Linked DNA regions of Rhinolophus ferrumequinum. The main gene of each other region encodes a partner of the protein of the gene in region 2 in a complex. Links are inferred from orthologs where the notes say so. Each region holds a gene or a part of one and is shown on either strand. Other genes may lie near its edges.

What was found.
Region 1: PIGQ (region 2) and PIGY share a complex: the UniProt entries of both Homo sapiens proteins name them as parts of the glycosylphosphatidylinositol-N-acetylglucosaminyltransferase (GPI-GnT) complex. The link is inferred for Rhinolophus ferrumequinum from reciprocal best matches to the Homo sapiens genes PIGQ and PIGY.
Region 3: PIGQ (region 2) and DPM2 share a complex: the UniProt entries of both Homo sapiens proteins name them as parts of the glycosylphosphatidylinositol-N-acetylglucosaminyltransferase (GPI-GnT) complex. The link is inferred for Rhinolophus ferrumequinum from reciprocal best matches to the Homo sapiens genes PIGQ and DPM2.
Region 4: PIGQ (region 2) and PIGH share a complex: the UniProt entries of both Homo sapiens proteins name them as parts of the glycosylphosphatidylinositol-N-acetylglucosaminyltransferase (GPI-GnT) complex. The link is inferred for Rhinolophus ferrumequinum from reciprocal best matches to the Homo sapiens genes PIGQ and PIGH.

Annotation. Positions count from the first base shown.
Region 1 is NC_046288.1:42,455,531-42,461,625, forward strand, and holds PIGY (phosphatidylinositol N-acetylglucosaminyltransferase subunit Y), read right to left. Parts: upstream 1,111-6,095; 5' UTR 1,074-1,110; coding exon 858-1,073; 3' UTR 715-857; downstream 1-714. Other genes in the region: PYURF (protein preY, mitochondrial), read right to left, coding at 1,167-1,308, 2,851-3,050. UniProt on the Homo sapiens protein: Part of the glycosylphosphatidylinositol-N-acetylglucosaminyltransferase (GPI-GnT) complex that catalyzes the transfer of N-acetylglucosamine from UDP-N-acetylglucosamine to phosphatidylinositol and participates in the first step of GPI biosynthesis.
Region 2 is NW_022680357.1:2,531,701-2,539,401, forward strand, and holds the start of PIGQ (phosphatidylinositol N-acetylglucosaminyltransferase subunit Q), read left to right. Parts: upstream 1-4,590; 5' UTR 4,591-4,786; coding exon 4,787-4,800; intron 4,801-6,604; coding exon 6,605-7,303; intron 7,304-7,701. Other genes in the region: NHLRC4 (NHL-repeat-containing protein 4), read left to right, coding at 14-70, 607-1,505. UniProt on the Homo sapiens protein: Part of the glycosylphosphatidylinositol-N-acetylglucosaminyltransferase (GPI-GnT) complex that catalyzes the transfer of N-acetylglucosamine from UDP-N-acetylglucosamine to phosphatidylinositol and participates in the first step of GPI biosynthesis.
Region 3 is NC_046295.1:76,946,627-76,953,876, forward strand, and holds DPM2 (dolichol phosphate-mannose biosynthesis regulatory protein), read right to left. Parts: upstream 3,209-7,250; 5' UTR 3,141-3,208; coding exon 3,048-3,140; intron 2,845-3,047; coding exon 2,755-2,844; intron 1,755-2,754; coding exon 1,652-1,754; intron 883-1,651; coding exon 827-882; 3' UTR 182-826; downstream 1-181. UniProt on the Homo sapiens protein: Regulates the biosynthesis of dolichol phosphate-mannose. Regulatory subunit of the dolichol-phosphate mannose (DPM) synthase complex; essential for the ER localization and stable expression of DPM1.
Region 4 is NC_046289.1:29,113,649-29,121,425, forward strand, and holds the start of PIGH (phosphatidylinositol N-acetylglucosaminyltransferase subunit H), read left to right. Parts: upstream 1-4,491; 5' UTR 4,492-4,562; coding exon 4,563-4,742; intron 4,743-7,777. UniProt on the Homo sapiens protein: Part of the glycosylphosphatidylinositol-N-acetylglucosaminyltransferase (GPI-GnT) complex that catalyzes the transfer of N-acetylglucosamine from UDP-N-acetylglucosamine to phosphatidylinositol and participates in the first step of GPI biosynthesis.

The DNA.
Region 1 (6,095 bases), on a different chromosome or scaffold from region 2:
TAAAATAGTTATTGTACTATTCTCTATCAGTCTTGTTGAAAGTTCTGGAAAATCAGGAACTATTAATGTCTCTGATACTCATGCCCTTAGTAGTGCTAAACAGGTCTCCTAAGGCAGGAAAATAAACTAAAATGTGGCTCAAAACACAGCTGTAAGTGCAATAGGACACAGCTATTTGCAAGTCTTCTAACCCTACCTCTACCTCCAAAAGTACATACTTTCCTGGGAAATTATTCTATTTGGCTATTAAGTGTCTAAAAATAGCCTACATTTTAAATTTTAGAATACTTTTTCACTTTTCCCTTCCTTAGACCCACATTCTTGAGACCAAAAACAAAATATACAAAACCATGAAAACTTTTATGGAAAAGTGTTGTCTTATTAGTAATGTAAGCATTTGATACCAAAGAAATGAATTTTACAAACTCAGAATTTCTGCAAGTCCATAAAATTTCCACTTTATTGTAGTTTTATATCACACTAGTTCAAATGCGTTTCTCTCCAACTATTCTAACATAGCTCTGGTGGAATTTACTGCAGTCATCTGTAACGTGACTTTACCAAAGACTTCTACTCTAAAACATAAAATTTCAAATGAACTTTCAGATGAATGGGGTAAGAAATAAAGTCATCAGATGATGGTCAGGACTATAATTTCAAACAACACACTTTTGTTGAAATGTTTCTTCTGACATAGCCGTTATAAATTAGATCCCATAGTCCTAAGTCTGACAGAAGTAAGGTAAAGCATCTTTCCTACAAATTAGGCGTGTGCCTGGTATTTCCATACAGCTGAGCTTTCAGATATAGACACTCAACATAGCATTAATGTATGTACCATCTGGGCTCTAGCTGCATTAATTATGCCTGAAGAGTTTAATGCCCATCCAAGTCCAAAGGTGGAAGAACACATAAACTGGTACAGTAATGGGTAAGAGCAGACTATAAAAGCACAGGCTGGCTGTGCTGGTGCAGCCCTGTGGGAAGTTTTCTTCCACAGAGGCCGAGTAGAACAGTCCTGCTAAAGAGACCAATGGAATAAGGACAGTCAACACAGGAAGAGAGAGAAACATTCTTCTCCTCCACTTATTACCTGCCACCCTGACTTTTTAAAACGTAGATGGTATTAAGAAAATTTAGTTGTGTTTGTTGTTTTTAATTATGATCTAGTGTTGCTCCGTATCTTCTTGTTTCTTATTTTGCTGTGTCATCCTAGCAGCTTGTGGTATCATATTAGGAATCCCATCAATAATTGGATAGGCTATTCCCAATTCTTCATTAACCAATTCATTTGTTGATGCTTCGTATCTGAGGGAAAAGAAAAATAAAATGAATCGTGGAAAACAAAATGCTTGGAAGAGCTTGATGTTTAATAAACACCACTGTTTATCCAATTCTTCAGAGTTAATCCCAGAAAAGCAGAATTAAACTTTTAATTCTATCAAATATATGGTGATGGAAGGAGAACTGACTCTGGGTGGTGAACACACAGTGGGATTTATAGATGATGTATTATAGAATTGTACACCTGAAATCTATGTAATTTTACTAACAATTGTCACCCCAATAAATTAAAAAAGAAAAACAAAACAAAACAAAAAAACTTAATTCTACAAGCAGCAATAGTCAAACCATTTCTCATAGAAAATGAATCTCTAATCGTTCCCATTTTAGTCAGTTTCTCATATTTTTTTCACTTTATTCGCAAGCTACGCCTTAATTTTTTAAAATACCAGTCAGAAAAGCTCTCCCTTTTTCATCCAAACATTCCTTCATTACTCTGGTCATCTCCAAAACCGTCCCAGTTAATTTACTACTGGGACAGAGAAAATTTCAACTTCCTTGTTTTAGAATACAGGCGTACTAGAGCAGCCTAACTGATCCATTAGAAGAAAACCTCTGAAAAATCAAAGTACACAAAAGTTTGTGAAAGCTGAAAAGGCAGAAATGAGAAAATTGGAAAACCAATCTGCAGTGAGCTAGTTACACAATTAGCTAAAAGGTAGATCAAATGATAATTTGAAGGTTTAAGAAAATTGAGTATGTTAATTATAGGAAAAATTTAGAAAGAAATGCAAAAAGATGAAAATTAAAATTATTAGCAATCTACCACCCAAAGCTAGCCACTCATAACATCTTGATGTTCAGTATATTCAATCTGCAATACTCGTGTTGTCAAAATTCAGTTTTAGCAACCTGGAACTGTAGTTGTTTATCCTAAGGATTGTAAGCTAAAGGTTAAGGAGGCCTTTACAAAACCAGCTAGTCCAGAACTAAAAGCCAAAGGGCAGCACACGTAGTTTACACGCTTAAGATAGTCAGGCATCAGTTGTAGACATTTTCACAAGAATCTGGAGGCTACTACGGTATTTTTTTTTCCATCATCTTGGCTTAAAAACGTGAATGCTATGGACTACTCCTGAATCCCACTACTTCATAAACCTGGCTGTGTATTAGATTATACACTTTGCGTCTTTCTAAGAAAATACAGAATTGCTCAGGCCCTGCCCTCAGACCTTCCGACTCGGTCGCCTGGGATATTGCCTGGGAATCTACACTTTTAAAAGGTACCCCGGCAATTCTAACGCCCAGTCCGTGGCGAACCTCTAAGTTTCTATTCAGGCCTGCGGGTCGGCGGTTGGATTTGGGAGGCCTGGGGCTTGGCTCTCCTCCCGCCTTTCCTGCCACAGAGGGAGATGCGTGGGAACTGGCGGGCCCCCAGAAAATGGCAGCGGAGACTACCCGGATTGACCTGAAAGGCTCCCCCACGGCTGCAAGCGGCCGCGCGGTCCCCTTGCCTCCTCCCCGCAATGGGAGGCCATGAAAGGAAACGCAGCCGGCTAATCTTACTTGAGCGGCTTCTTGGAGAGCGGGCACACCAAGAACTCCAGCAGCGCCGGGTCGAAAGCTTGGGGCACTTTCCCCCTCTCACTCCCGTCCGCCGACGACCGCGACCTCGACACGCGCAGGCACCTACGGGCGACCACGAACGACGGCGCGCGTGTCTGCCGCAGCACTGAGGCGAGCCTGCCCCTCGCTCCACTCAGCATGGTCTGGCAGCCCGCGACCGCCTCTCACCGCGCCCTTCGCCAGCTCGGGCCGCTCTAGGCGATTTCCGCACTTCCAGCCGACAGGCCAGTCCCCGCCCCCCGGTGCTCTGGAAACTCAGCCCCGGGCAGGCGGGGCCGAGCGCTTTGGTTCCGTGGGCACTCCCGACTGCTTTTAGCCGCAGCACTGCTCGATAAGAGTGCTGAGCGTGACCTGCTACCGGAGGCGTCTGGTGGCTGTTCCACCGCGTTTACCATTTACAAACAAAACCAATGCATAAGTCGGGGTTCCTTGAGTTTTCACCAGAAACGGTCGCAGGCTGCCAGGAAACATTGGCCGGACTTCACAGTCACACACTATTAGTCTTGGACCTATGTGGTTATCTCCCAAATGAAGTTTCAAACACTGTCATGTTGGGTATGTTAAAAGCATTAATTTGTTTTATGTAAATCTTTATTATATCACAGTTCCTGTAACCGTGTTTGGCAAATTTCTTTTTCTTCTCTCATTTAAAAAGATTTAAGAACCTGAAAAGAATGGCTTGGTCTTGTTAACGTTCCAAGACATCCAGATTCTTACCCTGAGGGATTCATGAATTCAATTATATAATAACTCACAATTAATTTACTTGTATAAATGAGCTTGGAGACATCGAGGACTCTAAATAACTGCGTGATCATGCAGATGTCCATTAGTTAAGGGGGTGATCCATTTAGTGGATTTTTCGCCCTATATTTGTCTCTGACTCTCCAAGGAATTGATATAGGTTTGATCTCTTTCTTACGGTTTAGTAGATAAGGATTTGGGGTTCTGGGGCCTGACAGTTTGGTTCCAGGTCCATAGTTTACCAGCTAAGTGACTCCAGCAAATGACTTAATTACTCAGGTTTCTTATCTGTATAATAAGATTCATAATTATACCTACCTAATGAAATCCCCTTGTGGGGATTAAAATGTCCTAATGCATTCCGAACATTTAGAAAATTGCCTGGAACAAATTAATGCTCAATTAATGTTATCTATTGTTATTTTTATTTCCTCTGTTCTTCCCAGTTCAATACACTACAAGATTTTTTGTTAGTCATCATTTTTCCCCCTTTGTTTTGCTGAATATTTACTTGAACCTTCTTGACATCAATGGGCTTTACCATTTCACACTTTGAGCTCCTGGGAGGTAGGAATGAGGGTGAGGGATATACATACACAAACTTCTCTTCCACTCAGCAATGTAACAATAAACTGAGAAAATTTTACATTGTTTGCTCACTCTATTTTTTAAAATCTACTACATTATTTAACACCCTTTGTTCACTAGTGTTCAGAAGATTTCAGCTCAGGGCAGTTGTCAGGTTTGTAGCCTCAGGAAGGACAATTTCAAAGTTCCTATGTTATCGTCACATTATTTCCTCCGAGGGCAGTAGCAGCAATTAATTTTTCAGTTTGTAGTTAGTTGATACTGTGGGCCCTAGGGAGAGAGTGAATTATAGGAAAGATACGTTTCAGTGAGGTATGGGGAAGCAGAGCTTGATTTCTGCCAGCACTAAGTGGGCCAGGCCAGGCTGGGCAGGCTAGGTGTGGGTAGGGGCAGGCATGCGTGGTTAAGGCCAGCTTCGTTAGCCTCAGCTGCCTGGCCTGCCTGACAGATCCCTATCAACTGGATTTGCTAACCAGTTATAAATAAATTAGTTTCAGTTTGCCTCCACATAGAAGGCTTGAAGCAGATCAGTTTACTTTCATTTATATTAGTATTGGGGAAAAATGGAGAGTAACAGCAAAGTACTGAAAACATCTTCAAATTTATAGCAGCAAAAATCTACAACTAATATGTAAGGAACATAAAAGTGTATTAATCCAAACCATGTAAATACAAGTTGCAAAATGTCAAAGCAAAATGTTCCTTAACGGCTCTCAGTAATTAAGGAATGCAACTAAGTTTTGCATGTAGTATACTAAGCTGAAGGTAGGTGACAGTATAGAATTGTAAAATCATTAGTCTTTTTTTTGACTATTGGTGTGACTATGATCTTCCTTATCACAGAGCCCTGTACACACATGTAATAACACGATGGGCTATGGGCTCAGGTACCGTATTAGCTGTGTGACCTTGGGGAAGATACTTAAACTCTCTGCCTCAATCGTCTAAAATATAGGCATACCTGGTTTTATTGCACTTGGCTTTATTATGCTTCACAGATGTTGCATTTTCTACAAACTGAAGGCAAGACCTTCCACCAGCGAGATTACAACTCTCTGTATTATGATACTTGTTTTTTTATGGTGGTCTAGAACCAAACCTGTGATATCTCCCAGGTACACCTGGCTGTAGCATTATAATAGTACCTACTTTATTACAGCTGTTGGGAGGATTAAATAAAATAATACAAGTAAAGCAGTTAGCACAGGGGCTGGCATAGACTACTCATTTAAAAGAATGTTATCAGCAGCAAAATTACTTATTATGGTGAAATTGGTGAAAATGCTGATGAAAAAGGAAAGCATAAAGTATCACCTTAATTTTAACTAACATGGAATTTTTATAGTTTCCAATGTGAATATTATTGAAACACACTCTTGGGCTATTCTATACATTAAATGAGTTAAAAATCTCCAGGCAGAGGAGAGGCTATGTAGAATACATATTTTAATAAAGTCCCATAAATACTAAATTTGGGGGCATTGAAATTACGGACTCTGATCCAGAGAGTAAGTTAAAATCAGTGTTCCACTAGATGGCATCATTCAGTATTTGAACTAACATTTATTTCTGCTTGTACTTTTCTTTCTGTGATTATGAAGATTTGCCTTTATGTTGACAGTTTCCTTAATTTGATAACATCTATTTTAGGAACAAAAATCACAAAATATTTATTAATAAGTTGCAATTGTAATGAGTACATTAAAAACAAACGTCCAATAAATGGACAAAAATATGAAAAAAATTCATGAAAGAGAAAATACAGTTGCTTAATAAAAACATAGAAAATATTCATCCTCAATAGTAAAGTAATGCAAATTTTGAACATCAAAGAAGTTTGCATTTCTCACCTA
Region 2 (7,701 bases):
CTTCAGGCTCTAGTTTCCAACAACAGAGACTGCAGCCGAGCAGGGAACAGGGCCCAGGGCCTGGCCCCAGGTAGGAGACCCTCCCAGCTGGCCTCCCTGAGTAAGGGCAGGTAGAGAGGCCTGGACCCCTGCCTCAACCCTAAAGGGTTGGAAGTCCCCAGGATTGGTGTGGGGGCAAAGGAAAGAAGGGTCACTTTCCCTGTGTAAGTAAAGGAAGGCAGCAAGGGTTCTGTGGGCAGATGAGTTTGAGAAACACTTTTTATCTGTCACCCCCCACCCCTGCCTTGGCACATCTCAATACCCGTGAGCTTATTCAGGCCTCAGAGGAAAATCTATGGTGACCTTCATGGGTCTGTGTCTCCCCGAATTGTGTCCCAGGGACTACATCGGGGAAAATGGGACCTAGAGACACAGCTTGCTACCAGGCTCGCAGGTTGGGCCAGACTCGGGACCTGGTGGAACTGAGTTCGAATGCAGATCCCCCAAACGCCCCACATGCCTCAGTTTCCTCATCTGTAAAACAGGACATCAACATTGCGTGGAAGGGCACAGGGGAACAGAGAGAGCTGCTACTTGGCACACAGTGGGGCCTTCTTTCTCTTGCAGTCCCAAACTCTGACCTCCTGGCCTTTCCCACCAGCTGGCCAGTTGAGGGCCTGCACCTCACGCTGGACCCGCCTGGAGACCCCGCTCCCTCCTGGCAGCCCCGGCTGCTCAGGCAGGTCCCGGTGCCTGCAGGGGCTGGAGGGAGGCCCCGGGGCCTACACTGTTCCCCGGACGGCCTGCTCTTCCTGACTGCTGGGGCTGCTCCCTGCCTCCATGTGCTGGACCTCGAGGGACGCTCTGTCTGCCACCTGCCCTGCCGCGTGCCTGGGATCGGGGACTTTGTGCCAGAGGACGTCGCTGTGACCGCTGCTGGGCTCGTGGTGGTCAGCGACCTTGTCCATGGGGCCGTCCACACACTCCAGCATACTGCCCGGGACCCCCAAGGCCGCTGGGTGACAGTGGGTACCTTCCTGGCCCCCCAGGGGCTGGCTGTGGACGCCCTTGGCCGCTTCCTGGTGACGAACTATGTGCCGGGGGCTGTACACAGCTTTACATTGGGCCCCAACTTGGAAGCACTGGCCCCAGCCTCTGTGCTGGGTCTAGACGGCCCCCGCTGGGTGGGCCTGGGACCCAATGGGGGGTTTGCCGTAAGCGAGGAGTTTGGGGACGTGCAGCTGTTTGGCAATGCCTACCAGCCCCTGGGCTCCCTGGGGCGCCTGACGGGGCACACCTTCGGCAGCCCAACTGGTGTGTGCACCGATGCGGAAGGTAGTCTTATTGTGGCAGATGAGCAGCGTCGGGAGGTGACCCTGTTCCCCAGGACTGGGGCACCCGTCTGCTTGGTGTCCAAGGGGCTGGGGCGGCCCTTGGGTGTGGCCTGTGTGCCCCAGAGTCGGCTGGTAGTGGCCGATGCAGGGGACAGCTATATCAAGGTGTACCAGTACTCAGAGCTGACCTGACCCAGTGGGCTTGGATGGCAGCCTGGATTCAGCCCTCAGGTCACCGAACCACCGTGAGAGAGGCATGTTCAGGGCATCGGAGGGCTGCCGGCCATGCCCTCCTGACCCTGCACATTTTCTGAGCACCTGGTCTGGCTTCCTGGCTTCCTCTTGGAAAGGATTCAGACTTGGTCAGCAGGCATGAATCAGCTGCCTGTCAGCACCCCCTGCAAGGTTCACAGCCTCCAAAGCTGGTTCTCGCCATGCCCCAGCTCAGGGTGCCCCAGCGCCGTTTGCCCCCATGTACACCCAGGCCGTGGCCCTGCTGGCGGAGGGCCCAGGGGGCCTGAGCTTTGGAGCCAGCAGCTGAAGCCTGGAGATATTTGGCGTGCTGGGCCAGCTGCCAGCTCTTACCCAAGCAGGATTTCCCGCCAAGTGCCCCAGCCCCAGTCTCCTAATCAGACACGGGCAGGCAGGGTAGGTGTGGCTGGGCTGAGCTGCACTAAGCTGGGCGGCCTGGGAAAGGGTGCGGCCCCTCACTGTCCCCCATTCTCAGAGGTGCCCGAGGTTCCGAGCACCTTCTGCAGCTTCTCTGGGCCCAGCTGAGGTAAGGAGGAAGCAGATGGGGGCTGCCCTGGAAGCGCCCTGGGGTGGCACATGGCTCCATTGGGAGCCTTCATGCCCTTGGCCACTTCTCCCACGTGAAACCGTCTCACAGGCTGTCTGACCATTCATTTTCTCCCCTGTAAACCAGGACCACACAGCCCAAGTTCATGGGCGGGGGTGCTGGGAGGGTTATGGGCAGTGGTCCCATCTAGGAGAGGCTTCCTACGGGGACATGTGCCTGCTGCTTAAATACAGCAGGAAAGTGAGGCCCCAAGAGGGTGGGGAAGGGCGGGTTACTCTGAGTCTAGAGCCCAGTGAGGCTCCTGGTTCCAGCTAGGGGTCTCCAGGGGGAGGGGACAGTGGCTGGTCCGGGCCCTGAGAGCTGGTGAGGGGGTGCTCCTGTCTGTGACCAGGACTTTCAGGGTCTGTGGTTCAGGCCATCACCTCTGACAAGATTCCCTCCATAAGTCCCAAGCCTCTGTGGGTAGGGGGATTAAATGGATCAATCAATGTAAGGAACCGTGTGTAGTAGATGCTCAATAAACATTAGTTGTTGCTGGTGTTAGGGGTATTGTTTCCTGGAGCAGGAGGGACCAGGGACACCCCTTGACGATCAGATCAGTTGGCTGCTGCCTCTGAGCTGGTCCTCCAGGGCCCAACAACTTCCTGGTCAGCCTGTCCCTAGGGGAACCTGGGGGGGGGGGTGCCCCTCTGCAGAGACCAGTGTGTGAGGGGGCCAGGCTAGGGCTGGGGAGGGAGCTCTTTTATGGGATCCCACTAGGGTCTGGAGGTCATTTCACCCTGGGAGGGTGGGGGCAAGGCGAAGTACAGAACCCTCAAAAGCCAGGTCCACTGGGTCCCTCAGATGAGGAAACCCAGGGAGGTTTGGCGGCTGGGGGAAGGTGAGGGGCTGGAAGGCAGGGGTGTTACGGACTCTGCGGGTGGACTGGAGGGGGATCAAGGACGCTAAGCGGGGGGGGGGCACAAGGTCACTGGGGGGGAACAGGGACGCTGCGGGGGCGCGAGGACAGGGACGCTGCGCAGTGGGGGTCACAAGGGCGCTGAGCGCGCATCACTGGCTCTGGAGTCGGGAACGTTGCGTGCACGGAACGCTTGGGCGAGGCCAGCGGGCAGCACGGGCGCCTTTGGGGGCCGGACCGTCGCGCGGCAACGTCGGGAACCCGCGGAAAAGGGACTCGTGTCCCGCGGCGCGGCCGCTGTGGGGCTGGGGGCCGTGAGCGCGCTTGTCCGCCCGGGCCCCCGCGACGTGGTCCCCAATTCCATCCTGACCCCGCCGCCCGAGGGCGCGGCCCCGGGGAGCAGCCGGTGAGCGTGGGCGGGGAGGGCCGGCGTCCGTGCGGCGTGACCTTGGGGAGCTGCCCCCCCTGGCCTGGGCTGCGGGCCCCGACACAGGCGGGCGAGCGGGAAGATCTCTCCGAGGCTCCTCCCGGGTCCGGCCCAGGCCTCCCGCCGCTAGGAGCCTCTGTTTCATCGTCGGTAAAATAGGGACGTCACCGTTTGCCGCCTCGAGGGGGCCTGCGACTTAGGAGAGCAGTGAGCGGCCCGCGGAGCCGGGTTCGCTCCGATCAGGGAGGATTCGTGGCCGGGTGCGTGGGTGCTCTTAGCGGGGAGGCTGGTCCCAGTGCCGTGTGCGGTGAAGGGCCTCGGAATGATTCCCTTTGACCCCCCCCCCCAACTTGGGGCCTGCTGCGGACCCTTTGGAAGGGGATTCAGGGGCAGTGGAACTGGTTGTCAGCACTTTGTCCTTGTCCTTGACTACAGCAAAGGGCAAACAACCAGAATCCTAGATTCAGGTCCCTTCTTCGGAAAGGAGAGAGAAAAAGCACTGTTCACACAACGTGAGAAATTTTTTTTTTTTTTTTTTTTAACACAAACGACCTGGAGTGAAAAAAAACGAATTCTTTTGAGCTATTGAGGAGGGAGCAGTGGTGGGGAGGCTTCGCAGAGGGGGGTTCCGGCCAGTGAGATGTCCCCGGCTGGTCCTACCTGGGCTGTTCCCTGAAATAAGTTCACGCAGAGGGTGAAAGGGAAGTGCAGCTTCTGCTTCGTAAGGCAGACTGTTGACCTTCAGTTCTGTGGCGAGGGGTGTCCCAGAGATCGGACTGTTTCATAAGGGAGCTCGGGTGTCGTTCTTAACATGGGAGGCTTTTCCAGGCCTGGACCCCCCAACCCCCCTTTATCACAGTCTTGAAAGACGTGCACGTTGCCCAGTTACTGCCCTGCTTTCCCCCATCTGCACCTCTGCTATTGATTGCCTGCTCTTTCATCTCTTTCTGGCCGACTGATCTGAGCAGACTTCTTTGTGTTCCTCACTCCCAGAGGCTGAGGTGGAAGCTGGGGTGGGAATTTGCACCATAATCTGTTAAAGAGTTCTCGCTCGCTACCCCACGGATAAGAACACCCCCTTCTTGCCCTCTGCTCTTCCTTAGACATGAGGCGCTGCTGCTTTTTTTCTTTTCCTTTTTTAGGTAAACTTTGTGGATGAAGCGTAACACACACAAAGGAAGTGCACAAGTTGTACGTGTACAACTCGGTTTTTCCCAAAGGGAACGCACCGTAGAACCAGCTTCCCCCAGAGAAGCTGTCAGCCGTTAGAGCAGTTGTACTTCTTTTCCGACGGTAGCCATGAGCGGTTTTCCTTAGCTCCTGGGAAAGGCGTCCCCAAGCCGGGTGTGATGGTGTCATTTGGGTGAGTTGGTAGGTGCCTTTCCCTCCCACGATGCCATCAGGAGGGCAGCCCCTGCAGAAGGGTCAGGAAGACGAGTTGGCACTGCATGCCCTTGTTGAGGGTTGCAGGGATTTGGCCTGGGGCTCTTGTCAGGCTCCAGCCTTTCCCCGGCCAGCACCCACTGTTGCCTGCCCTCCCTGGTCACTGGAGGAGGGGCATTTGGGAATCCTGCTGCTGCTAGACTCAGAGGGGTCCTTTTCAGCTGGAACCCACAGCTGGGAGAGGCCCCTTTTCCTAGCTGCCTGGAGGAGGCCTTGACCCTCCAGCCCCATGCTGGGCTCCTGCGAGGGGGGAAAGCAGCTGCACCAGTGCCTCTTAACCCCGGTGTTTATGTCTGTGAGGCTCCTCTTAAAGCCCCCTGGCCCTCAGGCAAAGGCTCCCTGTGCCTCCTACAATGTCACACTGCCCCCACGTTGTGTGTCCCTCTCTGTACCTTGCCCCATGGGCCTGGTGAGCACTAGAGCTCGGAGGCCCAGGTTCAGTCCAAGGCCTGTGTCTGTCCCTCAGGTGTGGCCTCCAACGTGGGGGGGGGGGTCTCAGCTCAGCGCGGCTGTTCTGTCCTTTGTGCCGAGTAGCTGCAGTTGGTGTCAGAAAGGGCATGCTCGAAGGTGAATGCCCTCAGCACCATGCGGTTGAGGTCCTGCTGCCATCTGGGAGGGGCTCAGGTGGGAGCATGAGGTACTTGTTAAGAAAGCCTCATCCCAGGGAGCTTCCTTCTGGGCAAGTTTAGGCACAGGGTCCCACCGCGTTTAGGAATTGCAGCCGCTTGGGCTGCAGCCACTTGCAACTGAATTGCTGTTGCTGCTCAGAGGCCGTGTGAAGGTAGTGAGGGGCCTGGAAAGCTTGCATCTCTCATCCTGAGACAAGACGACAGGCTCTCTCCATTCCCCAGGGCGACCAACTTCTCCCACCCCGATTTCTAGATAGCCACCTGGTTGGAAGAATAGTGCCCCAAGGAGGCGCTCGGCCCTATCTGGAGGCCTGCGCTGAAGTGGCAGATGGATGGGCTCTCAGGGCAGGATGGGCGCGGCCATAGGCTGGGGGGTCAGATGGAGGCAGAAGCCCCGTGAGAGCTGAGCCTTTTCCCTGAGCACTGAGGCTCCCCCAGGGGCACGTCCCAGGCATCTTCTGAGGCGCCTGCACCAGTCGGTGCCCACAGCCGCCAACAGTGTCCACATGTCTGGTCTCCCTTAGTCCCGCGGCAATTTGTTTAAATTTCATCTTTATTCTTGCTGGCTTCGTAAGTAAGTCAAGGTTCGATAGAATTTTAATTTGCGTTACTTTGTTAATGAGACTGTACATTTATCCCCGTGCTACACATAAAAAAGCAAATCAGTTTCTTTTTATGTGTAAAACAAAAGTTGAACCTCTTGCTCAGTTCCACACACCCTGTGGGTGGTACTGAGCAGGTCACATAATCTTGCCCTGGGTCAGCCTGCTTCTCACTGAATTGGGGGAAAGCGTTGACCTGCCTCGGGTCGGGGTGAGGGGTGATTTGGGGCCTGTGCTCGCAGCTGCCCAGGGCAAAGGTGAGGGAAGCGCCCATGGGAGATGGGCAGCTGGGACCCCCCACTGGCCTCCAGGATCAAACCCACAGCAGGGTCACCCCAACCTGTGGGCCCTCTAGCCACGTGGACATGTCCGGCGGGGTATCTGCGCTACACACTGGCCAAGGCCTGCGGCCACAGCCCTGCCAGCCCCCCTGGGCCATGGAGAGCAGTGGCGGCGCAGCATGTCTGAGCTGAGTCTCCCTCGTCTCTTGCAGTGACCCCGGCATGGTGCTCAAGGCCTTCTTCCCCACGTGCTGTGCAGCGGCGGACAGCGGCCTCCTGGTCGGACGGTGGGTCCCGGAGCAAAGCAGCGCTGTGGTCCTGGCTGTGGTGCATTTTCCCTTTATCCCCAGCCAGGTCAAGGAGTTCCTGGCGCAAGTGCAGCAGACCAGCCAGGTGGGCGTGGCCGTGCTGGGGACCTGGTGCCACCGTCGGCAGGAGCCCGAGGACAACCTGGGCCATTTCCTGGAGGGCCTGAGTGCCATCTTCTCCCATGAGCCCTGGCTCCAGCTGTGCCGGGAAAAGGGCAGCACGTTCTGGAGCTGCAAGGCCACGCGCTGGCAGGGGTCCACCTCCCCCGGGGCCCCCAGCGAGGACCAGGTCATGATTGTCTTCTACGACCAGCGCAAGGTGCTGCTGTCCCAGCTGCACCCGCCCGCGATCCTGCCTGACCAGGAGACTGGCGATGCTGCAGCCGGCGCTGTGGGCCTGGCTGCTGTTTTCCACACGGTGGCTCGCAGCGAGGTGCTCTTCCGAAGTGACCGGTTCGATGAGGGCCCCGTGCGGCTGAGTCACTGGCAATCGGATGGTGTGGAGGCCAGCATCCTTGTGGAGCTGGCCAAGTGGGCCTCAGGGCCCATCTGCCTGCTGCTGGCCAGCCTGCTGTCCCTTGTCTCAGCTGTCAGTGCCTGCTGGTAGGTGCCCCTAGGGCCGGGATGGGACGAAGTCAGGCTTCTGAGTCTAAGGCCCACCCCTCAGTGTGCAGGGGGCCCAGGCAGGCCTTCCAAGGCTCATGGCCGCCCCTGTACCCCAGTTCTCCCGTGCTCCCTCCCCTGGATCTCAGAGGACATCCTGATGGTGGCTGTTCTTGTGCCACTCGCTCCTGGGGAAGAGCCAGGCTTTCTGGCAGCCTCAGCGGTTGCATGGGACCCACCAGGTAGAGGTGCTGGGTGAACCTCAGATGGCTCCAGCCCCCGAGGGGGAGACGAGTCGATGGACAGATCGGGCTGTCACCCGAGGACCATTGTTCACCCTGCCTGGGAGTTGTTCGTTCTGAATATACGCAGGCCTGCCTGCTTGCCTGGCCCCCACA
Region 3 (7,250 bases), on a different chromosome or scaffold from region 2:
CACATCTGTCCCAGTTCCCTCCTGATCCCGTGTCCAGCATAGGGACGATCCAGGAGGCACCTGAGGCACCTCATTGCACAAACCAGGGTCTCCTGACCTGAGACTAGTGCGAGGCCAGCTCCTAGACCCTCTCCGGACTACAAGCAGCCCAGCTCTCCTGGTCAGGGATGCCACAGAAACAAACACACCAAAACATTTATTGTTCAGTTCTCCCCAGCAGGCCAAGGCCAGTGTCAGGACTGAGGGGCTGGGTCTCCATGACGAGCAGCAGGTCTGGGGGCCCAGTGTGGCCACTCTAATGCGCCCTGAGGCCTGGCGGTGGTCCTGGGGCCTGTCTGTCCCCCCGCCTAGGTGTTCCAGGTCCAGAAGTCCTGTGGGATCTGGGGCTATGTCAGACCCGGGAAAGCTGCTTTCATGGAGGAGGACATGTGAGGAGAGGTCATGTGATGTCTTAGAACCTGCCAAATCCAGTATCAGCAGGTAACAGGAGGGAAACTGAGGCAAGAGGGTGGAACCAGAGGAAAACAAATGACAGAGTCTGAAGGTGAGGCAGGGAGGACTAGCATCTTTCAGGCCCTGAGCCGGAAGGGGGAGAGAGGGAGACTTCAGGTACTCCTCCCTCCTAGCTTCTGGAAAGGTGAGCAGGGCAGTGGGTGCTCTTGTCAGTCAGGGGTGAGTTCTGAACAGCTCCATCCTTCAGGGTGTCTGCAGAGCAGCCAGGTTTGAGGGCGCCACAGTGCCTGAATAGGTCCTGTGGACCCCTGCCCTTGGTATGCCCTTGCGGGGAAGCAGAGAAGGGGCCAGCAGCCTCATCCCTGCTGGGCTTTCACTGAGCCTTTTTGGTCACCTGGTTCTTCAGCATCACATAGGTGATGAACACTCCTGGAATATACAGACCAGAAAGACCAGATAAGATCGGGGCTCAGGGCTGCTGTTAAGGCCAGAGCAGGGCATGGCATGGCACAATGACACATACAGGGGACCAAGCCCCTCCCAACCACCCTCCAGACCACCTGGTCATCTCCCTAGCCATCCATCAAGCCACACATCCACCCACATTCATTCGAAACACACCACTGAGTGCCTGCCACAGGCAGTTTGCTACATTTAGTCTCTCAGATTCTATGGGGTACAAGTTGCACCCAGCTATCCATCTACTCACCCAATCCATCACCTGTCCACCCACCTATCCACCCACCCACCTGCCCACTCAACATCCAGCATCCACCCACCGACTGCATCATCCAGTCATCCGATTGTTGACTAATCCAAACCACTCTATTGAGCACCAGCTTAGTGCCACAGCCTGTGAGGACACAGTCATGATAAAGCCCCAGTCCTGGGAAGCCCACAAACTAAACCATGGGAGACAAAGAGGTGCAGGAACCATGAGCCTGGGTGACAAGGGGGTGAGAGGTGATTGAGGTGTGAGCAGAGCAATGCCGGTGGAGCGAACCGGAAAAAGGGAGACATCCCATGAGAGCCTGAGGCATGGGAAGACTGACTTGCAGCCCTGAAGGATGAACAGGAAAACCCTGGGGGTGAATTGGGGGCAAAGAGCCGCAAGCAGACATACAGCAAGTGCCAAAGTGTGGCCACACATGGAGGGGTGGGAGACACCCTGCCCAGGGTTGGTGGCATGATGACTTACCTACAAACAGGAGCAGCAGGAGGCCGGCGGCCAGTGGGATGGCAACGGCGTAGGCTCGGGGCAGGAAGTACTTGTGGATGACATGCTGGCTATCGATGAATGGCTGGCATCGAGGGCAGAGCTCCAGTGAGCATTCCCTGCCTTGCCCAGCCCCCCCAAGCCAACATCCCACCTCCTCTGTCTCGGGCTGACCCACTCAAAGCACTGGGACAGCATTTGCTTCTGTTTAAGATGGCATTTTGGATGCCTTGGTTTGTTTCCTTCCTTCATTTATTTAATACTGTGTTTCCCTGAAAATAAGACCTACCCCGAAAATAAGCCCCAGTTAAGATCGTCAGCCAGACAGGCGCACTTAGTACGTTACGACGATGTTCTAGAAGATGACATGACTGTATTTGAATAAACGTAGATTGTTGTACATGAAAAAATAAGACATCCCCTGAAAACACGTCCTAATTTTTCTTTTGGAGCAAAAATTAATATAAGGCCCAGTCTTATTTTCAGGGAAACACGGTAGTTTACTGTGCACTTGACTGGTACCTGCCCTAAGTGGGTGCTAGGGACCTGGCAGTGAACAGAAGTCGAAGGACTTGCCCTAATGCCCTCACAGTTTAGCAAGGGCAAAGGGTACACGAGGAATCCTCAACTAATTCCCAATTTGGGCTCCAAGATCTTCTTTACTGACAATTTTCCCCAAACGATACCAAGTTCTGCAAGACTTTGCCCTCCAAACACACTGCACATAAGTACTAACCACCAAACCCTTGCTCCACACACACATCCGAAAGGCCCTCACGAAAGCCACTGGCACCTGCCATGCCCGGGAGCCAGCAGAATAACCAGAAGGATTGGACCCATCAAAGGGAAAGCAAATCAGGAACAGGGCTTTACACTGCAGCGGTTAAGAACGCGACCTTGAGTCCGACCCTTCTCCCTGAACCTCAGCTTCCTCATCTACAAAATGGGGATACCACTGGCATCCTCCTCACAGTGTTGTTCCGGAGATTTCATAAGATATTCAGGTAAAGCACCTAACACAGTGGGGTCGGCTGCAGGACCCAGGAATGGGAGAAGGTGAGAGAGGGCGGAGGAAGAACACATACCAAGAGAATCACCCAGGTGGTGTAGTAGGTGAAGATGATCAGGCTAACGGCAACGAGGCCAAGTCCCACCACCTGGTCTGTCCCGGTGGCCTGGAGAAAAGGGAGGGCTCAATTGACGAAGTGCCTCTATTTAGGTGCACTACTGGGGTGGGGGGGCGGCGTCGCAGTCTGATTCCTCAGCGTTTTTATCTGTACAATGAGCCGGCGGGAGAGCAATCTGGTTCCGAGTGCCCAAGCTCCGGCTCCTAAACAAACCAGGGATCCCCAACCCCAGCACTCTGCCACAAACTCACCATTTCCCCGGTGCTCCGCACCGGGGCAGCCAGCCACATCCGGTTCCGCATCTGGGCCCTCGGCTGCGGGGCACGCCGGGAGTCGCCGAACATAAGGCCGCCCCAGAACTACGTTGCCCAAGACAGGCAGGCGCCGCCTCCCCATTTGCATGTCGGGAAATGTAGTTTCTCAAGGGTATGGGGGAACAAGTTGTTCCCGAATCTCCCTAGAGAATGGGACCGAGTTGGGAACCCAGACCGGCTGGTACTCGTGGCCTCAGTCCTGTCGAACTCGCCCCTGAAGAAAAGCCCATTTCTAAATATCCCAGAGTCCCAAAGCCAGAGCGAGATCTGGTAGGGGAGAGTTGGAAGTCTCATTTCTCAGATGGGGAAACTGATGAGGCTCAGAGACGGGCGAGGACTTGCGGGAGATCACAATTCGTGTCTGTGGTGAAGCCGACACCAGAACCTGGCGTGTGCATGCCAGTTATTTCCTGGTCCCGAGGCCCTAATGTGTGTTGAGGGAAGGGTGCAAAAAATGTTCACCGCCCGGCTGGGGGTGGAGGAGGAGGGGCTGGCCCAAGCCTGCTGCGATGGGGCTCATTTCGATTGGCTGTAAGGGTAGGCGTCCCCTTACCAGCGCCTGGCTTCCCTGTCCTGTCTTCACTGCAGGGACGAGGCCAGGGTGACCCTCTCCTCCCTCACCGTCTGCCTCTGGGGCCCTGGGTGTTGCGGCAGCGCTAGCAGCAGTCCAGGCAGGTCTTGGGAATGGCCGCGTGTGCAGGATCCTCTCCAGGCTTGGAGGTCCGTTCCTCTGAGAGCAAGGGGAGGTTGGGCCTCATCACCTTTGATGTGTTCTCCAGCTCTGGAATCTGGAACACTGTCTCCTCAAAGCTAGTGGGCTAGTTGTTCCTCACTCATCAGGGCTACACATCCCAGGGAAGTCAACTTCCCTGACGGGGGTTCCCTCCTCTGTGTTCCACAGCCCCAACTGTGTCTCCATGATGACGCTTCTCAGCACCGTTTTAATTAGCCGATTTACTTGATGTGGCCCACCTGTGAGCTCCCTGAGCCTAGGGTCTGTGGTCACTGCTGTATCCCCAATGCCCAGAATGGGGCTTGGCACAAAGTAGGAGCTTTGAATCAACCAACTGGCTTTAAGATTCTTTGACATTTTAGATCCTAGAATGCTAGCCTTCAGCATCTGAGGACTCCAGGCCTTCTGAGGGGTTGTGTGGAGGCTCTCCTGCTGTCTCCATTTTGGGGGGTGGAGGGGCACGTGGAGATTGAACCTGGCTGGCAGCATCTGCCTCCTTGGGTCATCTGAGCCCATCTCTGACTATGGCAACTGCTGGAGCAACCTTTTTATTCCCTGCCCTTTGGTATGCTGATTTTTCATTTAGCATGACTGTGTTCCAAAGGAGCAACCTTTTGGGCCTAAAGCCCAATTCCTTCCCTCTGTCTCAGGAGACTTTGGGCTTAGTCAGGAGCCAACTTTTCCCTCCCCAGGTGTGCACTGAACAAAGGAAGGGACTGAGAATCAGCCTGGACATCAGCCCTGAGAAGGGGTGAGGATATGCAGTGCTGTGACAGGGATGAGGCCTGGTAGTCTGGTCCCTTCTGGCCCGTTCAAAGCCGCTAAGGTTTCCTGCCACTTCTGAGATCATTAAAGGCCCAGGGCGACTTGCCTTTCCCAGAGCTTGGTGCAGGCTGCTCTGTAACTTGAGACAGGGCAGGGATGAGGGGCCTAGGCCTGGAGACAATGCAGGCTTGGGGCTTTAGAGGATGGGAATGAACTTGGCACCTCCCATAGGTCAGGCTGTACACCCACTTTCTCATTTGATCCACAGCCTCACAGCCCGCAGCTGAGAAAACTGAGGCACAGGCAGTTTTCTGTCTTCAGGCATGCTTGTTCAAAGCCACCTGACTACTGCGGAGGTCCGTAGAGCAGTGGTTAGAACTTGGGCTCTGAGGTCTGAGACTGGCAGGAAACTACTCTCCAGGGCCCGTTTCCTGTCCGGGACTCTGGTGTAATAAAGGTGGTCACAATTGTGACTGCACCGGGACTTGGAGAACCCTGGCCACCTACACCTTCCCCACCCCCGACCATCACCTTACACATCTGGCTTCCATCTGATGCTTTGATCCTAAAGTCAAGTTGGTAAAACAAACAAACAAGAACCAACATGCCATAACAAACAAAAACTGCAACATTTAATTTTGTCCCCCAAACCAAGACACTGACTAGGCTGATTTCCCTTTACAATGTTATTTTCTACAATAGAAGCTGGGACGGATACAAACACAGCCCATTGAATTAGGGTGTGGTGGTGGCGACATTGTTAGATAAGAGGGGAATTAAAAAAAAAAAAAGACCTTTCTTCCCCCCCATCTCCCTGCTCACTTCCCTAAAGAGAGGAAAACGTAGACATTCTCCATCCTGGCAGATCATGCCCTATGGTCAGTTTGTGGGGTGACTAGAAAAAAATAACCTAAAAATATTGTATTTATTTTCTTTAAATCTCCTAGTAAAAATGTTAAAACTGTCTTCCAAGAAGATTCCAAACTGGCATTGCATAGACCAATTCCTTTCCAAAAATATCTCTAATATATTCTATCTCTCTCTATATATATAGAATTTTTAAGTCCAGGAGCTGTGGGTGCCTAGTGCGAATTCACTGAGCTTGAAGGGACCAGAGGGCCGAAGAATAGAGCTCCCATATGGGGATGAGGCCGGAGCTTCCGGACTCCAGCTCCAGCCACCATCAATTTGGTTGTGGCCGAATTTTCAGTTGTCCAATTACCCCGGCCCAGGGCCTGTCATGGGAGAATGTGGCAGGCTCTGTCTCCTTCTGGGGTGACTGTCAAGTTCAGACCTCGCCTAGAGAGGGGCTGGGGTTCCTGTTTTGGGGGAGTCTCCCCAACAGCACCAAAGCCAGCTGCTTTATGCCTAAAGCCCCAGAACTTGAATCAGACCCCAAATACACCTTGAATGCACCTCCCCACTGGGCTGAGGTCATGCAGACAGAGGGAAGAGCGGCACTGCCCCGTCTTCTGGGGGCCACTTCATCTGGAGACAGTGCAGCTGGTCCCCTTTTAAAGTGCCAGGTGTCTACGGGGCAGGAAGGGACCCACAGAGCTGACCAGAGCCTTCTCCAGCCAGAGCAAATGCTCCATCCTGCCTCGGCAGGCACCTTCTAACATTCATTTTCTAAAAGAGTTAGGTGATTAAAACAATAACAACCACCACAAAATCCTAGAAATGCTCTGACTCCAATGCCAGGAGGCTCCAAGACCATGACTCCAACTCTTGTCAGCTGGGCAGAAAGGACCCTTCCCACCCTGGGGAGGGCACCTCCACCCTAACCCCTACGAGAGAGAGAACCCGTATCCTGGCTCTCCATCCAGATCCCCAGCCCTGCTGGGACCCAGCCAGCGGGTAGGGCAGAGAACAGAACCACCTCCCCTCACCTGGGGGAGGAGAAAATATCAAACTGTGAACCCTAAAAAAAAAAAAAAGAAAAAGAAATAAAGAAAAAAAGAGGAAAGGAAAAAAAAAGTATAGGGCCAAGTAAACACCAGCCTGCTGGGTTTATACAAAGATGAGTGAAATTAAGAGTGGCAGGGGAGTCTGTCCAGAGGCTGGCTGGCAGCCAGAACCCACCTTCAAGCAAATAACGAGGACCGGGAGGAAAGTGCTCAGAGCAGAGGCGTTAGCAAGGCGCAGGGGCAGAGCCAGACTGCTCCCTGCTGGAAAAGCCCCCCTTAAAGGGCCTGCCTCTCCCTTGCCCAAAGAGAGGGGTGCTTTCAGAGGAGGGCTGAGGCTTTTCTGGCCAGGAAGCCAGCTCCAGCCAGTCCGGTCACAGCCCACCTGCCCCTCTAGCACTGGTCCCAGGCCAGGGCCAGCTGACCCTGAGGGGAAAAATGGGGCAGTGCTTGCCCAGCACGGTCAGGCCCCCGACCTCCACGGGCTTGGGAGGCTCCTTCCAGGCTTCCTACAGGAAACCAGCTGCTCGAGACCCAGCCCTGGGCAGAGGGAACCTTCTCGGCACGGGTCTCAGGCCTGAGCTGGAGCTGACGGGAGGGAGGAGAGGCAGTGCCCCGTTCCAGCCGGGCTGCTAAAGCTGGGCCGCTGACTGCACAGCAGGCAGCACCCAGGAACCCCTGGGAAGGGATCAGAGGAAGGGCAGGCGAGGGCCAGCGGGGCTGTGCTAAAGACAAGCG
Region 4 (7,777 bases), on a different chromosome or scaffold from region 2:
AGAGTAAACAGTCTTTCCACAAATGAGAAACCATCCAGCAGGTAATTTGACATGTGCATTAGCATAACTCACAGAGGGAGCAGAGCTGCAGTTTAAGGTGATATCGGCTGAAAGATTAAAACAGTGGATAGAACAACCGGTGAACTTGACACATTTTTCTGCCGGGGTCACAGCTGTTACTTGTAAATGAAACATGCTCCTGAATCTTTTAGGGAACTAATGGGTCCCCTATATTTAAGTGACTGCTGAATCTTTCCCAAGCTAACAACATAGGAGATAACAGAATTGAGGTTAGAATCTAAAGCAGTGGGCAGCAGTTAGAGCCAGGGCTTTAAGGTCTTTTAATAAAACTTTTCCAGAGTCCTTTTTAAGTTTAGTTTGTTTATTTTACATTTCCTCTAAGGTATAGACCAATGATAAGGAACAGGCTGAGTAAAATGAACCCAAATCTGGGGGCTGTCTTTATCTTTACAACCAGCAGTCTTCAGAGGAAAAAGGTCGAGTGAGCAGTTGAGACAGAATAAATGGCTTCTATATTAATCAGGAAATTAACAGGCTTACCTGCCACATCAGGGTCACCCGCAGTTTTACCCCTGTGATGAGAATAGCTTGGGAGCCGCTGGGAACTTTAGGCCCAATAGTGATTACAGCTATTTTTGGGGAGAAGTTGGTCCCTGCTCCCTTCAGAACGGGGGGCAATTCCTCCTCCAGTGCCCTTTAGCTTGCACAGGAGGCACGGCTGCTTTGGAAGATTAGGACACTCCTTATTTCAGTGCTCTGGGCTTCCACATCCAAAGCAGGCTCCTTTATCTGGTGTTTTTTCCTCTGGGGCTTTTGGGGTGCCCTGAGGTGGTTTCAGCCCCGGGTTATTTATAACTGTGGCCAAAAGTCTGGCCTGTCTCTGGTCTTATCCTCAGGTTTCACTGTTCCTTAATTTCTCATTTTTTTCTGTCTCGGTTGTTAAAGACATTTAAACAAATTCCTGGCCTTCTTTAGGATCTCAGCCTCTTTATCAGGGATGTAACAGTGGGCTAGAACCATTAGAATATCCTGCCAGTTAGGGGAAAACATTAGGCTTATAATTTCCTAAGTGATAAGGGCACTAAGCACATCTTTTATTTTGATATTTGTTTTTTGACCCCAGTTCCTGACACAGGGTTCCTAAATCCCTTGGAATTTCCTGGGTGATAGCAGTGTCCTTTGTTCTAATGAGGCAACTCTAGGCGGACTCCTGGATGGCTCCTGGATGAGGGCTGGTCACTAGAAAGACCAAGACATGATTAGAAGCTTAGAATTTCAGCCCCGCTCCCCATTCTCCAGAGAGAAAATGGAGTTAATGATAGATCATGCCTACGTGATGAAACCTCCATAGAATCCCAAAAGTACGGGGTCTGGAGACCGTCCAGGTAGGTGAACACATCCAGGTACCGGGAGGGTGATGCAACCCAACTTCACAGGACAGAAGCTCCTGTGCTGGGGACACCCCTAAACCCCACCCACCTCTTCATTTGGCTGTTAATCTGTATCTTTTATCATATTCTTTATTATGTAACAAACGGGCAAACTTAAGTATTTCTCTGAGTTCTGTGAGGTGTTCTAGCTAATAATCTAATACAAGGGGGAGATCATGGGAACCTCTGATTTGTAGCCAAGTAGAGGGCAGTCTTATAGGATTGAGCCTTTAATCTGTAGGATCTCCAGGAAGATAGTGTCAGAATTGAGTTAAATTGTAGAACACCTACCCAGCTGGTGTCACAGAGAATTACGCTTGGTGTGGGGAAAGAAAACCCCACACATTTGGTGTCAGAAGTATTGTAAGTGTGGTAGTAGTGTGATAGTAAAGGAGAAACACAGGAGGAAGACTGAGTTTTTTTCTACAACAGTTGTGAATATATAATGTAATACCTAAAGCAACCACTAAAAAAACTATATAAAGATACACTCACGAACACTATATAGATAAAATGGAATTCTAAACAAGGAAAGATAAAATGTGTTATACTTATCTTTTCATGCAAAATAAATTAATTTATTGATCAATTTCACTAAATTGCAACGAGTTTTATAAGTTTGCATTTATTTTTTTTAAAAATTGAGGTATAATTGGCAATACTTATCTTTTTAAAAGCCTATTTGGGATTTCTTTTGATTTATATGGGCCTTTACTTTTCCTCTCCAATGGGTATGTGGCCCTATATAGAAGGAGACATATTCTCAGTTAAAACAGCAGGAATCATTAATGCTATATAATAAAAAAGTGAATAGAATAACAATTACAGTATGAGATACTATTTTTAGAACAACCTTTTACTCCATAAGTGTAAGCAGATACTAAAAAGTTCTATAGAAAGATTTTAAGAATCCAGCGTGGGCCATAAAAATTAAAAGTTAACTGAATTCTTTGATTAGATTTTTTCTTATTATTCATATTCATAGACACTCAGGTTCCAAGAAGAACTTCACAGTAGAAATAATTACCCATCTTATCAAAGGTAAATCAGATTAATCCTACCTACTGCCACCACGGTGCTCAATTCACTGAAATGTATTTCCTGATTCTTGTAGCCAAAACACTTTAGAAAGTATAACAAAGACTGTCTAGTTGTTCACCAAATCATTCTTTCTCTACTAGGCATACCGATAACATTAAGATGATGCTGTGATCTGACAGAGCAAACTGGTTATAGAGATTTGGGGATTCTATTACCACTATTTATCCCTAATAATTTAATATTTAAAAAATTAAGTACATTTAGGTGTCTTTTTTTCTATGACTCTATAGTTATGAAGCTTCTGAACCTGCGCAGGTTCTTAATCTTTTTGGTGCCACAGACCCTTTGTAAGTCTGGCAAATCTAATGGACCCCTTATTACAGTGTTTTAAAATGAATAAAATACGTAGGATTAAAGAAAAACAACTAAATGAAACTACAGTCACCAAAATATATTTTAAATATTATAGTAATGTGTGTCTCTAGTGACACATTAAATAACAAGATCTAGTAGTGGGTCTAATAATTATTGCAATTTTGAAGTACTAATGAGTGAAAATATTTTGAGAGAACTAACAATTGTGAAATGAAAATATCTGTGGTTTCTATCAGTGACAAAAATCACAAGTATACTAATACTAATTGGTTTGTTGCCTGTGTTTGTAATCAAAATAAATGTTAAATTTCAATTAGAAGTTAATAAAACTAAAGATGAAACTGCTTTTTATCCATGGAGCCCAGGTTAAAAACTCTAGGACTAGAGGTTTCCTCCAAACGTTGACAGTGTTTATTTCTGAGTGGTGGAAATATGAGTGGTTTAAATTTTTCTTCTTTTCTGTATTTTTCAAATTTTCCACAATAAGCAAACATCTTTTATAAAGCACATCATATGATATGTACCATGAGAGGGGTGTATTGGTTGGTAAGATTCAGAGTACAGAAACTGGAAATACGAAGCAATTATTGAAGAAATTCCTTTAGAAAAAAAAAGGAAACAAAATCCTCGTTATAGATGGAGAAACTAAACCTTTCATCAGAAACTTAAAGCTGGTGAGACCATTAAGCCATTTATCTTTATACATAAAGGGATCAATTAATACATGTTGCCTCAGGGCTCAAGTATCATAACTCTTAACAGGCCACACAGACACTCTTGGGCCACATTTGAAGGAGAAAGAGGGAAACCACAGGCCACAATTACAAGTTTAATTTTATTATCCATACTTTCTGCGTTTTCCACTCTTGCTTACCTCCCAGCTAGGACTTGTCTGCCTGTTCAATGCTCCACGCTGTGGTTTGGGAGAGAGAATTCCCAGGCAGTGATATTCAAACTCTTTAACAGGCCCTACAACTCTCAGGAATCTGACTCCTACCTACCTCCCCAACTTCCAACTGCGTTCCCCATGCGTCAGCTTCTCTGACCTTTTGATTCCTCCAATAAGCCAACTTTGTTCCAGCCTCTGGGTCTTTGCTTTTCCTGATCTTCCTTCCTGGCAAATTCCTCCTCCAGAGTTCCCCCAGACCAATCTGGCTCCTCATCCTTGTATCTCGAGAGGCTTTCCGGAATACCCTGTTGAAAAGTCCCCAAGCCATCCCTGCTGGTCATCTTATTGCCAACAGCACTCTCTGAAATTACTTCTATATTTTTTGTCTTACGAGGAAGGAAGCTACTTGAAGACAAGGACCTTGTCAATATTGGTCACCGCTGTATACTCAGCACCTGAAACTTCCTGGCCCAGAAATGAATGGATGAATGAGAATGAGCTGTCTCCTCCGGGCGTATTCTGCCTTAGAAATAGAAATCAGTTTATCGAGCACAAGCGCGTTAAGAGCGGTTTTTATCTGTCCGCTAAATTGTTAGTCCCCTACGAGTCTCTGGAGTAGATAATCCTAGAATTCCAGCCGAGTAGGAGTACGAAAAACCTAACCTCCTAAACAGCCCCATGGGCTCTCGGCGCAGAACTGAGGCTGCGCAGAGCTTGGGAAAGGGCGTGGCCAAGCCCGCTCTCCGGAAGTGGGTCCAGAGCGGGCGGCTAGAGCGGCGGGACCCGCGGGGTGGGACGGGCCGGCCATGGAGAACGAGCAGAGCTTCTCGGATATCTGCGGCGGCCGCCTGGCCCTGCAGCGTCGCTACTACTCCCCGTCCTGCCGGGAGTTCTGCCTCAGCTCCCCTCGGCTCTCGTTGCGCTCACTCACCGTGGTCACCAGCACCGTGTGGTTAGCGGCCTACGGACTCTTCACTGTCTGCGAGGTAGTGGAGGGTGGGCCCCTTCCCGTGGTTAGAGTCGGGGACTCAGGTTTAGAAGGATCTTTAGGGCCCTCGGATCTATCCCGGACCTCTCGCCGACCCTCCTACAGTCGTAGGGCCGGAGGGCGGGCACTCGCTTGCTCTGGAGACTCCATTCCGCTGCTGGACAGCTCTTTTCATTACGTTCAGTGAAGTTGGTACTCCTGTACTTTATCCCTCTCGTCCGTCGCTGCTCGGCTCTCTGGTTTCAGCCGGCATACATCTAGTCCTTGCACGACAGCCTAGAACTTTAACTTCCATGTGCTTTATGTAGTACATGCTTATAGTAATTCATTTCAAGGGTTTAGAGAACTAGTAAGTGGATCGTCTTCATCCATGACTTCCACACCTCGGAGGAATCACTGAGAACAATACCTTAAGTACATCTAGTCTTCCAGAAAGTGTCTTTGCCTCCACTGTGTGTGTGTGTAGCGTGTGTATATACACACACGTTATTGAAGACCTTGATAGTTCTTCCTAATCTCTGTTGTAACATGGCAATCTAACCCCACCTCCTCCCAACCGCTTTCCCAACTTCAAGAACTTTCTAAAGAATTATGAAATTTCAGAGATGGGTAGTTTCTATGCTCAGTTTACAGACTCATGCCTATTTTTTGAGCCTGTTTGTTAATCTCTAAAATGGAATTATCATCTGTCATACCAGCTTCACCGTATTGTGAGGGTCACGCAGTAGTTTTGTGATAGCCCTCAAATAAAAGGAATCGTCCTAATTGCCCTTTTCACGATGAGTTTAGTTTCGTATGTAGTGTCCTGAATTGAATATAATATTATTCCAGGAGTGATCTGATCAGCGCTATTTATTTCTGTAATTTTTTTTTTGACTTTATTGGGGAAAGGGAACAGGACTTTATTGGGGGAATAGTGTGTACTTCCAGGACTTTTTTCCAAGTCAAGTTGTCCTTTCAGTCGTAGTTGTGGAGGGTGCCGTTCAGCTTCAAGTTGTTGTCCTTTCAGTTTTAGTTGTGGAGGGCACAGCTCAGCTCCAGGTCCAGTTGCCGTTGCTAGTTGCAGGGGGTGCAGCCCACCATCTCTTGTGGGAGTTGAACCGGCAATTTTGTGGTTGAGAGGACGCGCGCTCCAACCAACTGAGCCATCCGGGAGCTCAGCGGCAGCTCAGCTCAAGGTGCCGTGTTCGGCAGCCTTCAGTTAGGAGCACGGAGCTCTAACAGACTGAGCCACCGGGCCGGCCCATATTTCTGTAATTTGATAGAACTTCCTTTGCTGCATCCATTAACTTGTTTTGCCATCAGAGCATATTTCACAGCATGGAATTTAGCATAGATGTATGCATAATTAAGACTGCCCTAATTTATACCAAACTGTATCTAAAAGTTTGTTCATAAGTCAGTCAAAATGGTTAATTTGCCAGGACAGTCCTTCCCCCTCCCCCAAAAAGATTTAATTCATAATGTAGTTGAATTTTAATACTAGCCTGGCCATGTGGTCATGTGAGGAAGAGGGAACAGATATTAAATGCCCACTGAGTGCCAGCTGCTTTACTGAATGTCTCTTTTCAACCTTAGAAGAAAACCAGGGCTCAGAAAGCAGAATAACTTCTCCAAAATCACAAAGCTAGTAAGTGGCATACCTGGGCTTCAAACCCTGGCCTGTCTGACTCTGACACCCTTTCATTTCCACTAAACTATGATGTCTCCTCCTTGGGGAGGGTTTGCTTCAGCAAAACTTTTAGATAGAGAAGTTTATTTTTAAGCTAGTTCCCTTGTGTACTTGTCTCTTTAATCCTGGTCTATACTACCACTTCCCCCCACCAAGTACCCAGGACTCAGTAACCGCATCTTCTTTTTCAACTCCACTGAAACACTTCTTAAGAGCTATGTGTACCAAAATTTCTTATTTTTCTTCCTAGTCAAAACTCTTCATCAGGATAATGAATCTCCGCTAGGAGTGAGAATTATGACGAAGGAATTCCTTAAAACATGGCTTAACTTCAACCTAAATGAATATTGAATTGTTAAACAGAAAAATGAAGTAGAAAAAAATGTAGGTAATGATGAAGTTTTAGATAGGGATTGCCTTCTTGAAAAGCTGATATGGATCAAATCCCCTAAGGATTTTCTGCTCTTCATCCCTTCTTTTCTTCCAGTTTTTGAATTCACATTTCTATTAAAATTCCAAGTTTTTCCCTTATTTATTCCAGCCTGGAATGTTGTTCTCCCGCCTCCCTTTTCTCAACTAAGTATATGTATCAATAACTACCACCTCTGCACCAATTAAATACTATTCCTTGGAAATCTTCATGGGACATTCTTGTGTGCTTTAATCCCTCCCCCGCCACAATCCTATTTTATACTTGTAGTCAGTATCATAATATTCATAAAAAATATTTTATATATGAATTAATTAATTTTGCCTCTAATAAATCTGTAAGGGCCAGTACTAAATTTTACTTCTCTCAATTCTTCTGTAATTATAGCTTTAGTGCAAACTCTGTACAAGGCACTGTGCTAGATATTAGGCATTTAATTAACTCAAATAGTAGATATTTGATATCAAATATCAAAGTAGATATTTCTGGAACATCAGACACCCAACACATAGATTTCTCCATTCTCCAATTGTTAATCAACAAATAATTATCTAGCATAAAGGTGAGCAAACTTTTTCTTTAAAAGGCCAAATAGTAACTATTTTAGACTTTACAGATCTGTCTAATATTCTTCTATTTCTTTTTCCTTCTTTTTTTTTAAAACAACCCTTTAAAAAATGTAAAACTCATTCTTAGCTCAAGGTGGACCAGACAAAAATAGACCACAGGCCCAAACAGTTTGCAGACCCCTGATCTAACCTCTAGATCCTTGTTAAGAAGAAAGTAGAAAGATACTTTCAAAGAAAACCAGAGCCGGTCAGTAAAGTGGTAAAAAGAGATTTTATTCAGAAACTATTGCAATAGGAGAAAAGAGACTTCGTATAGAACTGGGCTCAATTCTGAATATAGCATGAACAAGTGGTAATTTATA